Linked DNA regions of Oryctolagus cuniculus. The protein of the gene in region 3 binds, or shares a complex with, the protein of the main gene of each other region. Links are inferred from orthologs where the notes say so. Each region holds a gene or a part of one and is shown on either strand. Other genes may lie near its edges. The genes, in order: ADGRF1, NPFFR1 and GNAI1.

What was found.
Region 1: the proteins of GNAI1 (region 3) and ADGRF1 are in contact, whole or in part, in a cryo-EM structure (PDB 7X2V), measured with the Homo sapiens proteins. The link is inferred for Oryctolagus cuniculus from reciprocal best matches to the Homo sapiens genes GNAI1 and ADGRF1. Residues at the interface, in NP_002060.4 of Homo sapiens: Arg24, Glu28, Arg32, Leu194, Lys314, Asp315, Glu318, Thr340, Ile343, Ile344, Asn347, Leu348, Asp350, Cys351, Gly352, Leu353; in NP_722582.2 of Homo sapiens: Lys615, Gln618, Thr619, Arg623, Leu682, Arg685, Ile686, Val689, Phe690, His692, Val765, Lys768, Leu769, Arg771, Arg788, Ser792, Ile795, Leu796.
Region 2: the proteins of GNAI1 (region 3) and NPFFR1 are in contact, whole or in part, in a cryo-EM structure (PDB 9M0R), measured with the Homo sapiens proteins. The link is inferred for Oryctolagus cuniculus from reciprocal best matches to the Homo sapiens genes GNAI1 and NPFFR1. Residues at the interface, in NP_002060.4 of Homo sapiens: Ala31, Arg32, Asp341, Ile344, Asn347, Leu348, Lys349, Asp350, Cys351, Gly352, Leu353, Phe354; in NP_071429.1 of Homo sapiens: Thr78, Arg141, Cys144, Ile145, Pro148, Phe149, Leu243, Arg264, Arg265, Val268, Met271, Leu272, Phe332, Asn333, Glu334, Asn335.

The regions. Positions count from the first base shown.
Region 1 is NC_091436.1:123,114,066-123,117,714, forward strand, and holds part of ADGRF1 (adhesion G-protein coupled receptor F1), read left to right. Parts: intron 1-775; coding exon 776-949; intron 950-2,835; coding exon 2,836-2,936; intron 2,937-3,649. UniProt on the Homo sapiens protein: Adhesion G-protein coupled receptor (aGPCR) for N-docosahexaenoylethanolamine (synaptamide), an omega-3 fatty acid lipid highly enriched in the brain.
Region 2 is NC_091446.1:61,855,853-61,859,527, forward strand, and holds the start of NPFFR1 (neuropeptide FF receptor 1), read right to left. Parts: upstream 2,919-3,675; 5' UTR 2,696-2,918; coding exon 2,674-2,695; intron 1-2,673. UniProt on the Homo sapiens protein: Receptor for NPAF (A-18-F-amide) and NPFF (F-8-F-amide) neuropeptides, also known as morphine-modulating peptides. Can also be activated by a variety of naturally occurring or synthetic FMRF-amide like ligands.
Region 3 is NC_091434.1:144,909,716-144,913,364, forward strand, and holds part of GNAI1 (guanine nucleotide-binding protein G(i) subunit alpha-1), read left to right. Parts: coding exon 1-30; intron 31-1,483; coding exon 1,484-1,637; intron 1,638-3,649. UniProt on the Homo sapiens protein: Guanine nucleotide-binding proteins (G proteins) function as transducers downstream of G protein-coupled receptors (GPCRs) in numerous signaling cascades.

The DNA.
Region 1 (3,649 bases), on a different chromosome or scaffold from region 3:
AATCAATAAATATTTGATTGACAGCACTAATAACCATAAAGGTGATATTATGAGAGGTTAAATGATTATTCTAAAGCAGGTATTCTCAAAGTACTGTGCCCAGGCCAGCATCATCGGCATCAGGAAATTGAATGAAAATGTAAATTCTTTTCCTTATCTCAGATTTGCTAAGAATCTCTGGAGTGAGATCTTCCAGGTCATCCCAATGAATAATGAAGTTTGAGCACCACTGATTACACATTGTTTTGCGTATTTTCACCAAGGTTTGCTCCATTTTTTTTTGATTATTAAAAAGGGTGACTTTTGGTGAGAATTTCAGGTGCAATAGAAGAAAATGAGCATACAAAATTGGCTGATGAAGCTTTGTCATCTTGACTTCCCCAGTTAAATCTCTCCACCTTTGCCATCTTGCTTGTAAGGCCTATATTGGGGTGGTTACAGGTTTACTGAGAGGGTAGTGACCAAAATACCCTCTAGATATTTGCCTACATTCCAGGTATTCTTTTCTGCCTCTCTCTTTTATTGCAACAGATAGCCACAGGGCACACATTATTCTTTGAGAGCTAAGCCCAGCCATTTTACTGCTATGTTTCTGATATCAACCTCAGAATTTATTGAGTTAGACATTTCCTTATGTTGCCATCCTGGACTCACCCTTCAGGATTTTGGTGAGAAACTCTTGGTTCAGATTCTAAGTCAGAGTCAATGATTTGAACTTTGCAGTAGTCAGTTCATAAATGAGGATCCATGAGACCAAGTTCTATCTTTTCTGCAGACTGTAGCAGCCTGAATGGAATATTGCGGTGTGGCTGTGAAGATAGCTACACATGGTTTCCTCCCTCATGCCTTGACCCCCGGTATTGCTGTCTTCACATGGCTGGATCACTCCCAAGCTGTGAATGTCATCTCAACAACCTCAGCCAGAGTGTCAATTTCTGCGAAAGAGCAAGTAAGCACAGGGTCTGTCCCACCCCATCATTTTTTTTTTTTTTTTTGACAGGCAGAGTGGATAGTGAGAGAGTGAGAGACAGAGAGAAAGGTCTTCCTTTACTGTTGGTTCACCCTCCAATGGCTGCTGCGGCCAGTGCACCACATTGATCTGAAGCCGGGAGCCAGGTGCTTCTCCTGGTCTCCCATGCTGGTGCAGGGCCCAAGCACTTGGGCCATCCTCCACTGCACTCCCGGTCCACAGCAGAGAGCTGGCCTGGAAGAGGGGCAACCGGGACAGAATCTGGCACCCCGACCGGGACTAGAACCCGGGGTGCTGGTGCCGCAAGGTGGAGGATTAGCTTATTGAGCCACAGCGCCGGCCTGTCCCACCCCATCATGCAACAGAGTGGGGACTCCAGCTGTTGGCCTCACTGAGGAGAGTCAGTGTTCACAGAGAAATTCAAGAACAGTGATGATATTCTCTACTAGGTGCAGCTAAATGCAGTGGGCCCTTCATAAAGGCAGAAGAAACAGAAACACAAGTTGATGATTGGGCTATCACTTCAACCTCTAGGTACATCCAGGTCAGCTCTGTAGTTACATGATTCTGTTGAGATTTAGGGAGATTCAGTAAAATACCAAGTAGGGAAATTGCTTGAATAAGCAATATTTCTCTCCCTAGCCCTTTTTCACTTCTTTTGCCAAGATCAATTCTGGGCAAAGGGAAGTCTAGAGGTGTGAATGTAGGGAGGAAAGAAATGCTCAAAATTATGAATAAGTATGTGTACTGAATGAATTACCAAAGCAAAACACAAGTAAATGTCTAGCTTAGGAGCATGTGGAAGCTGAGTGAACTACTCTTGACTTAGGTTTTTGTTCAATGAGGTGAGCCAAACATGTGAACTCCAGTACTGGAACAACTTTAAGAAGTTTTCCCAAAGACAACTCTAGTTATCTGAAAACTCCAGATTTTGGTGGTGCTGAGCAAGAATGAGGGAGGAGCCTGAAACAGACTAGGTTAACCATGTATCCATGGTACCCGTCCCCTTCTCAGGAATGCAAGTTGTGGCAACATATATTTATTAAGAACTGTCCTTACAATCAGATATGGGACAAATTCTAGGAAGACACAAAGAAGCATTTATACATTAGCAGGTTAGTTGAGGCCAGGTGGTCCAGTAAGAAAGAAAACAATGTAATTTCTTCAACAAGTATGGATGAAAGCCCACTTTTTGAAAGATGGTCTTGTCTCATCCAACTTCAAGATATACAAAGACGCATCAGACAGGGGCTTCCCACGGAGTTATGGAATCGTGTGTAGATGAGACATGCACACAGATGGGTGTTTGGGCACAGAAGCTATAAGGGAGTATGAACAAAGTACTGTGGGGATGCATCTGGGGACCAGGGGAGGACTTCCAGGAGTGGTGACATTTGATCAGGTCCTAAATGAAGGTTAGATAGGATTTTTCCATACAGAGAACTGTAGCCTCCTGAGAAGGACAAGTATTATAATGGATGAGTAATGGACAAGTAAACAACAGACATGTTGGGGTTAGCAAGTAGTGGTTTGCTTTTACAATTTTTTTGGGGGACAATAATTAAACTGAATGCCTAGTTGGGATACATGTCAGTGTTCAGTGACTGCCTAGTGATATGTGAATGCTCATCTATTTACTTACTTGTCATTTGTCCTGGTTTCCAGCACTTTCACATTACTGTTCCAAATCACCATTGAAAACTCTGATTTTATTCTTCCTATATTATTTTTTGCAAACATGTATTATGAAAAGAAATTGAAATACTACTGTTGAATAGATGAAATCTAAATTGTACTCCTGATAAAATCAAGTTAGTAATTTACTGTATTCATGAACTTTTTTTTTTTTTTTTAAATCTCCAAAGAGGTTTGGGGCACTTTCAAAATTAACGAACGATTTACAAAAGACCTTTTGAATTCATCTTCTCCCATGTACTCCAAATACACAGCTGGAATTGAACTTCAAGTAAGCACTTTCAACTTATTATAAGGAATTGATTGCTAAATACAAGTTCAGATGTTTTCAATTCAGCATGTATATTTGATGCATATTATTCATTTATTTTCAATGTGGTATTACACTCCTTGAGCATTTTCTTTCTAGGAAAGTTTAGCAGCTGACTTGTTTACACTTCTCTTGTTTTCAGTGTTGCTCACTTATTTGAGTAATGCTGTGCTAAGGGTTTTTGGTTATTTTCTGTTTTTTGATTGGCCAAAAGAAAATTTTCATGACCTGAGCTTGACCATCAGCACTTGAGATTCTTCCATGAAGAAGACCCTCTCGTTAGAGGCTGATGAGAGTCACCAGACAAAGCTCTGTAATTCCTTATGAAGTCACATAAAAGCTAGATTAGCCTGGGATAGTGGCTCAGCTGTGGTTCTAACCATAGGGCATGAGCAAATACATTGCAGGTAGATTTGTTTTAGGTACTTATGGAGATCAATGGCTTGTTTTTTAATAAGAAACCAGATTTTGAGTCAATTTTTATATTATCTGGCATCGAACATATGCCCTATTCTAAGTAGCTATTATCCACTGATTATTTGCCATCTTAAAAATACATTTTCTGTGTTTTGTGTGTGCCTGCCTGTGTGTGTGTACACATATGCACTCAGCTGCTATTTTCACTGTATTTGTATGACATTCAACTACTTCCCATTGTATTTCTTTGCCTTGCT
Region 2 (3,675 bases), on a different chromosome or scaffold from region 3:
GCAGCAGGGAATGCCCAGCGGCCCACGGGGTGTGCACTAGCGCCCCCTGTCTTGCCTTTCCTCCCTTTCCCATCCCACTCCCCTCTTTCCCTCACTTTCTGGCTCCTGGCTCTTCTTCCAAATAAACTGTCCACACCCAAGTGCTGATCTTGGAGCTGCTTTCAGAAGCAGGAAAATCGGGGAGCTGGCTCTGTGGCATAGTGGGCTAAGCCACTGCCTGTGACACTGGCATCCCATACGGGCATGGGTTCGAGTCCTGGCTGCTTCACTTCCAGTCCAGCTCCCTGATAATTCACCTGGGAAAGCAGCAGAGGAGGCCCAAGTCCTTGGGCCCCTACCCCCACATGGGAGACCCAGAAGAAGCTCCTGGCTCCTGGTTTCAGCCTGGCCCAACCCCTGTCATGGTGGCCATTTGGGGGAGTGAACCAATGAATGAAAGCTCTGTGTGTGTGTGTGTGTGTGTGTGTGTCTCACTCTCTAATTCTGCCTTTCAAATAAAAAAAAAGGCAGGAAAATCTGAAAGGAGGTGTTGGTGTCCCTATGTTTGTATACATGTGTGTGTGAATAATAAACCTATGTAGTTCTGAACACAGAGGGCTATTCCACCCATGTGTTCTAAAGTCTGCTTTGTTTTTATTACTCACTGAGGCAGCAAGCATATTTTCATGTCAATGAAACCCGGAAGCCCAGCTTTCAGTGTGTGCGTGGCACGCTGTTCACAGGTGTGTTTCATGTTTCACTTATCTAATTGATTTGATCCAGACACCGAGATGGCCCCTGACTGTGTGCCGTATGAGGCTGCTCTGCCACGGTGCACGGGGCGGCTGCCTCTGAAAGAAGCTTCAGTGTGTGATTGCTCTGCCTCCCAAAGGCTTGCCATTCATTCCATAATTTCTCCTGGAATTTTCAGAGGTCAACATTAATTTTAGCAGTTTAGAGGTTTTTTTTTTTTTATTATTCTTTCATTTCTTTTTGAAAGTCGGGCTTTTGCCTGTCTTCAGTTCTCTGGCACTTCCTTCGTTCCGTGTAATTTCCTACTGATTACATCTGTAAATGCATCCCGCCCGGAGGATGTTCTGCGTCTGGGCTTTCAGAGGGAGGTCTTTGTAGGTGGCTCAGTGCTTCCTCCCATCACTCACCTATCCTGCCTCTCCAGTTCCCTCCTTGTGCTCTTTATGCCACCATTTGAAACAAAATTGCCAGTGCCCGCCCTGCCCACTCTGTGCCCCAGCGCTGAGTAGATGCTTTCTTGTTATCTTTCTTTAGACTCTGAAAGCCGGTGGCTGTCTGGGCCAATTTTCCCTGCCTCTGTTCACCGGCGCTGCAGAGCCCTGGGCCCTCTTCCTCCAGATCCTGCCAGCCTCCCAGATTCATCGGGGGCTTCGCGGTCCTGCTCGCATCTTTTGTGTGTCTGCTTTTCAAGCCCCGGCGCAGTGGCAGCTACAAGTGCAGACTCCCCGGATTTTCTATAGAACTCCTTTTTGCTTGACAGAAGTGTCTGTAATTACTTATTGGCATTCCGAGGCTTCATCACCTCTCGTGGCAGCCTCCCTTGACTGGCGTGAATTTGTACAACACATCATGTCTCATTTTAGCCCCTCAGCTGCTCCGGGAAGCCAGCCGGAGGTAAGTGGCTCCGCTTAACAGACAAGTAAGCAATGGCACCGAGAGGTTTGGCCACCATCTCAGTGACACCCGCAAGCCACAGGACCAGCCCCCCAGCCTCTGGTTTCTTAGCCCACATAGAGTTCCCCCTGCCTGCACTGCCTGGAAAGGGGTCTGGACCCCCGCCGCGCAAGTCTGGAACAACAGCTGTGTGCCTGGCCACTATCCCGGGGGGGGGGGGTGAGGTCATAGCTGTTCCCCCTCCCCACGGACAGAAACTGCTGGGTAGGAAGATCTCTGGAACACCACCACCGCACCCCCACTCCTTCAGGCAGCCACAGTCGGGGAGCACTCCTCCGAAACGAACAGCCCTCTCCTCGCCAGAGAAAGGAAGCTCAAGTATGGGGGTGCACATAGAGGGGGAAGTGGAGACCCTCCCCCAGGTCTCTCTCTCTCTCTCTCTCACACACACACACAAGGAGGGAGATACCATGGACATAGATACCCCCAGGTCTCTCCCCCAGGTGTCTCTGTCTCTTTCTGTCTCTCTTTCTGTCTCTCTCTCTGTGTGTGTGTCTCTGTCTCTCTGTCTCTCTCTCTGTCTCTGTCTCTCTCTCTCTCTCACACACACACACACACACACAAGGAGGGAGAGAGACACCATGGACATAGATACCCTCAGGTCTCTCCCCCAGGTGTCTCTCTCTCTCTCTCTCTCTCTCTCTCTCACACACACACACACACACACACACACACACGGGACGGGGAGGGAGAGAGACACCATGGACATAGAAACCTCCAGGTCTCTTCCTCTGTGTGTCTCTGTCCCACTCTCTCAACAGAGTCACCTCCAGGTCTCGGTCTCTCTCTCTCTCTCTCTCTCTCTCTCTCTACACACACACACACACACACACACACACACACCGTGAACACAGAATCCCCCCTGGGTCTTTCTTCCTCTCTCAGGGTCCCCGTCACCCACCCGAGGGCCACAGTGCTGTCGACTGCCCCTGTCCCTTATCTCTCTGCACCTGACTCAGTGTCCCCCGCAGCCCCGGGGCCACTCACCCTCCATGCTGCCAGCTCCCATGCGCTGCGGGCCAGTCTACGACGAGGGAGCCTCGACCCGCAAGGGGTGGGCGGGGGCGGAGCAGCGCCCCGGGGCGCCCCTGCCCCTGCCCCCTGCAGCTCGGTCCCGGCCGGGCGGAGGCGAGCAGGAGGCGTGCGCTCTCAGGCCCCTGCGTCGGGCTGGTCTCGCTGCCCTCGGAGCCGGGGTTGCGGGCTCCACGCCGCTCCGCTGCCCGCCGGACTCTGCTGCCTGCTAGTCGCCCCGCACTTCCCCGGCCAGCGGGAAGGAGGGGGCTGGCGCGGCGCCGTCACCATGGAACCCGGCACACCTGCGCCCGCCGAGCGAGGGCGCCCCGGCATGCCTCCCTCCTTCCGCGGGACCGAGCGCCCCTCCAAAGCAGGGGACACAGCCCGCCGCCCGCGGAGCCCTGGCCACGACGCCCGTTACCCGCGCACCCCTCTCCCGGGGACCCGCACCCGGCCTCTGTCCCCACTCCTCCCCCTTGCCCCAGCCCAGCGCGACCCCGGGCCGCTCGCGCTGGTGTCCAGGACGTGGGCCTTTCTGATCGGGACAGGAGATGAAGCTGCAAAGACCCTGGACGGCCGAGGGAGGAAGCTGGGCGAGGGCCACCAGCTCGGAGCCCGCTGGTCAGGCACCCTACGGACACCATCAGTGAACAGAGGTCCCAACTTCCAGCGAACGGGGTTTAGGGTTTGTTCCGGGGGACTCTAGTTGGAAGCCGCTTGCTAGCTTCTGTCCTAGCTTCTGACTCCAGCTGCTCCTCCGTCCTGATCTGCTGGCATCTCTGAGCTCATCACTGGGCCAGACGCTGACACTAATCCCCAGCAGTGGGCAGCCTGCCTAGAGCGGGAAGCAGGAGGTGCCTTCTCAAGTCTACCTTTCTGCGGGACAAAGACCTGAGTTGCGCTCGGCTTTCTGCTGCTGCCTCAGTTTCTTCATCTGTAAAATGGGGATAAGAACAGTGCAGACCTCCTAGAGCT
Region 3 (3,649 bases):
GACCTGGTCCTGGCTGAAGACGAAGAGATGGCAAGTAGAGCCACTCTCTGGGGTGGGGCATGAAACGCAGTGAGAGGGATGTGTTTCCAGAAGTTTTTCTGAGAAATTCTTGATGCATGCCTGAATTATTTGAAGTTCCGTCACTTTCCACTGACTTTTATGCTTGCATCATTCAAGAGAAATCTGGTAAAGAAGCACAGATGGGGCTTGAAAAAGAGGAGACGATGGAGAGTCCATTTCATCCTGCCCTCTGCCAACTGTGCCTTTCCTGTATCTGCCGTCTGCATCCCGAGTGAAAATAAAGCCAGCCCATAGCCGTCCAGGGCTCATTTTTCATCATGTGTCCCTTCCTCCCATGTAGTGATTTTTGTTACGCATAGGTTATGCTATACTGATGCCATGTCATTTTCTTGTGTGTTTCAATGCAGAAAAATTTTTTAAATATAAATTTTAAAATTCTCAATTGTTTTTAATTAGCTTCAGTACAAAATGGGAACAGGGATAGATAGAAATGTGAGTTTTATATTTTAAAAATCAGGCTGTGCAGTCAAGTGAAATGCAACACTACACATTTGTTTTTCTTATATAAAAGCTATTAAATATATCAGTGCCCTGTAAAAAATACTGTTTCTTTATTTGGGAGACACAGCAAGCTCTCATCCATTGCTTTGTTCCTCAAAGGCTCGTAACAGCCAGGATTGGTCCAGGGTAAAACTGGAGCTGAAAACTCAATCCCACATTGCCGTATGGCAGGCAGGGACCCACCTGCTTGAACCATCACCCCTGCTTCCCAGGGTGTGCATTATCAGGAAGCTGGAATTGGAACAGTGCTGGGGCTTGAGCTCAGACTCTCCAATATGGAATGTGGGTGTGTCTTTCCTGCTAGGCCAAATGCCTACCCCTTAGTGCTCTTGTTTTGGGAAACAAACAAACAAAAATAACCTATTTTATTTTATTTGAGAGAGAGACACATCTTCTATTTATTGGATCACTCTCAAAGTGCATGCAACAGCCAGGGCTGGGCTAGGCCAAAGCTAGGTGCCTGAAGCTCAATCCAGGTCTCCGATGTTGGTGGTAGGGACCCAAGTACTTGACCCATCATCAGCTGCCTCTAAGAGTATACAACAGCAGAAGCTGGGTTGTAGGCAGAGGAGCCGGGCTTCAAACCAGGCCCCATGGTATGGGATGGTAGTATCCAAAGCATCATCTTAACCACAGTATCAGATGCCCACGCTCCTTGGTTTCCTTTTCAGCACAGGTCCTTTAAGAGCAGGAAACTGGAACTAGAAGTCTCCTTTGCTAATATTTAATGTGGTGGGCTCATTGGGTTTCAAAGTATACTTGTCTTAAAATGGCAGAAATGTATTTTTGTGGTCCATGACCTATTATTCATCTGAATAAGCTTGTATTATATTTGTTATTTTTTAAATAGTCCTCTAAATCTTTGCTATTAGTGATGATGTGACTTCATTTTCTATTACAGAATCGAATGCATGAAAGCATGAAATTGTTCGACAGCATATGTAACAACAAATGGTTTACAGACACGTCCATCATACTTTTTCTAAACAAGAAGGACCTCTTTGAAGAAAAAATTAAAAAGAGCCCTCTCACTATTTGCTATCCAGAATATGCAGGTATTTTACTTTTTGGTAAATAACTTAGCAAGTCATATATTTCAAGGTGAAACATCCCCTAAGGCAAAATTGGGTTGTTGATTTGAGTCTCTTGGCTTGGTAATTCTTCATATTCCTTCTGGGTAATTATTTATCAAACTCTGAGTTACTTAAGATGTGAAAGCGATTATTGAAAATAACATCCCTTTTCAGGAAAAGCTGTCAAAAGTGCTTTTCCGTGACAACTCCAAGCCTTCAAAAATTTAAAACATTGTTGACCAGGTTAACAGAGCTCATATCAGGTAATGTGTGATGCACAAGGCCTGCTTGCTGTCTAATCTCCAAGGCATTCACACTATTAAAGGAACCATGGCCCTGCCACACACTGCTACAAAGGAGCACAAACATGATTGTCAGGGGAGAAATGAAGCAGGACTCAGTGAAACCACAGATTTCTCCAGATATTCAGGGACGATTTCACAAAAGATCTCAACTTTGGGAACCAGACTATTCATGGCCCTTGAGTTTACTGCCCTGGAAGATGCCCTTGAGTGAGAAAAGTTGTTCTGAAGTACATTCCTGGGTTGGCTATAATTAACTCTTGGTCTTGAATATAGCAGTGAACTTGCCCTGTTCTTAATGATACCCCGACTGTGAAATCAAGAACTTGGCTGCAACATTGGTTTTAGTGTAGGTTAGCTCCTTGGAGCCCCACATGGGCTGCTGCTGAATGCAGGTACCTGGAATTGAAGGACTCACTACCCTTCATGCCTTTCCACTCCTCTCTCACTACAACAGAGTCGTTCTACTTTTGTGGGTTTGACATACCAGGTTTCTCAGTAAGATTTTATTTTAGAAAAGTGAACTCTACCTTAAAAGGAGAACAACATATTGCTTCTTGGCCTTTTGGCTAAGATCAAGTATAAAAGGAGAACAAACAGGAACCAGCACTGTGGCGTAGTAGGCTAAGGCTCCGCCTGTGGTGCCAGCATCCCATATGGGTGCTGGTTTTATTCTGGCTGCTGCTCCTCTTCCAGTCCAGTTCTCTGCTGTGGCCAGCTCCTTGCTGATGTCCTGGGAAAGAAGTAGAATATGGCCCAAATGCTTGGGCCCCTGCACCCGCATGGGAGACCCAGAAGAAGCTCTTGACTCCTGGCTTTGGATTAGGCCAGCTCCAGCTGTTTGTGCCATTTGGAGAGTGAACCAGCAGATGGATTATCCTTCTCTCTCCCTCCCTCTGTAACTCTGCCTCTCAAATGAATGAATAAAACCTTAAAAAAAGAAAAAAAGCAGTGATGCTATTTCTAGTTTGAAAAAACAACCGCCACTTCAATTTCTCTCCAGAGTCCCAAGCTTGCATTATCAATTCATTCTTGAACATAGATGTGTCTTTTTAGCAATTGAAACTCAAACTGACCTTGTATTATTTTCCCCACCTCAAGTCTCTCCTCTTTCTCCTCTCACCTTTGTAATAACACCATGAACCTCCTAGTTCTCCATTCCTTTTCTTTTTTTTTTTTTTTTTAAGATTTATTTATTTACCTGAGAGGCAGTGTTATAGACATAGAGAGGGAGAGACAGAGAGATAGAGGTCTTCCAGCTGCTGGTTCACTCCCCAAATGGCCAAAAAAGGCCAGAGCTGGGCCGATCTGAAGCCAGGAGCCAGGAGCTTCTTCTGAGTCTCCCACACAGGTGCAGGGGCCCAAACACTTGGGCCATCTTCTGCTGCTTTCCCATACCATCAGCAGGGAGCTAGATCTGAAGTAGAGCAGCTAGGACTCGAACTGGTGCCCCTATGTTATGCCAGTACCACATGCAGATGCTTAACCTATAGTGCCATCTCCCCCCCCCCACCCCCAATTCTCCATTCTTCAGCCTGTGTCTCATCTGCACTGTTCTTGATTCCAAACAACTTCACCATACACATACTTTGCTATTTGTAAGACTTAATGTCAGGTTAAGGGATGCACTTATTACTTCTTCACAGATGTCCCTTGTAGCTCTTGGGGTTAAAGAGTTTAGCAGCTACCCAG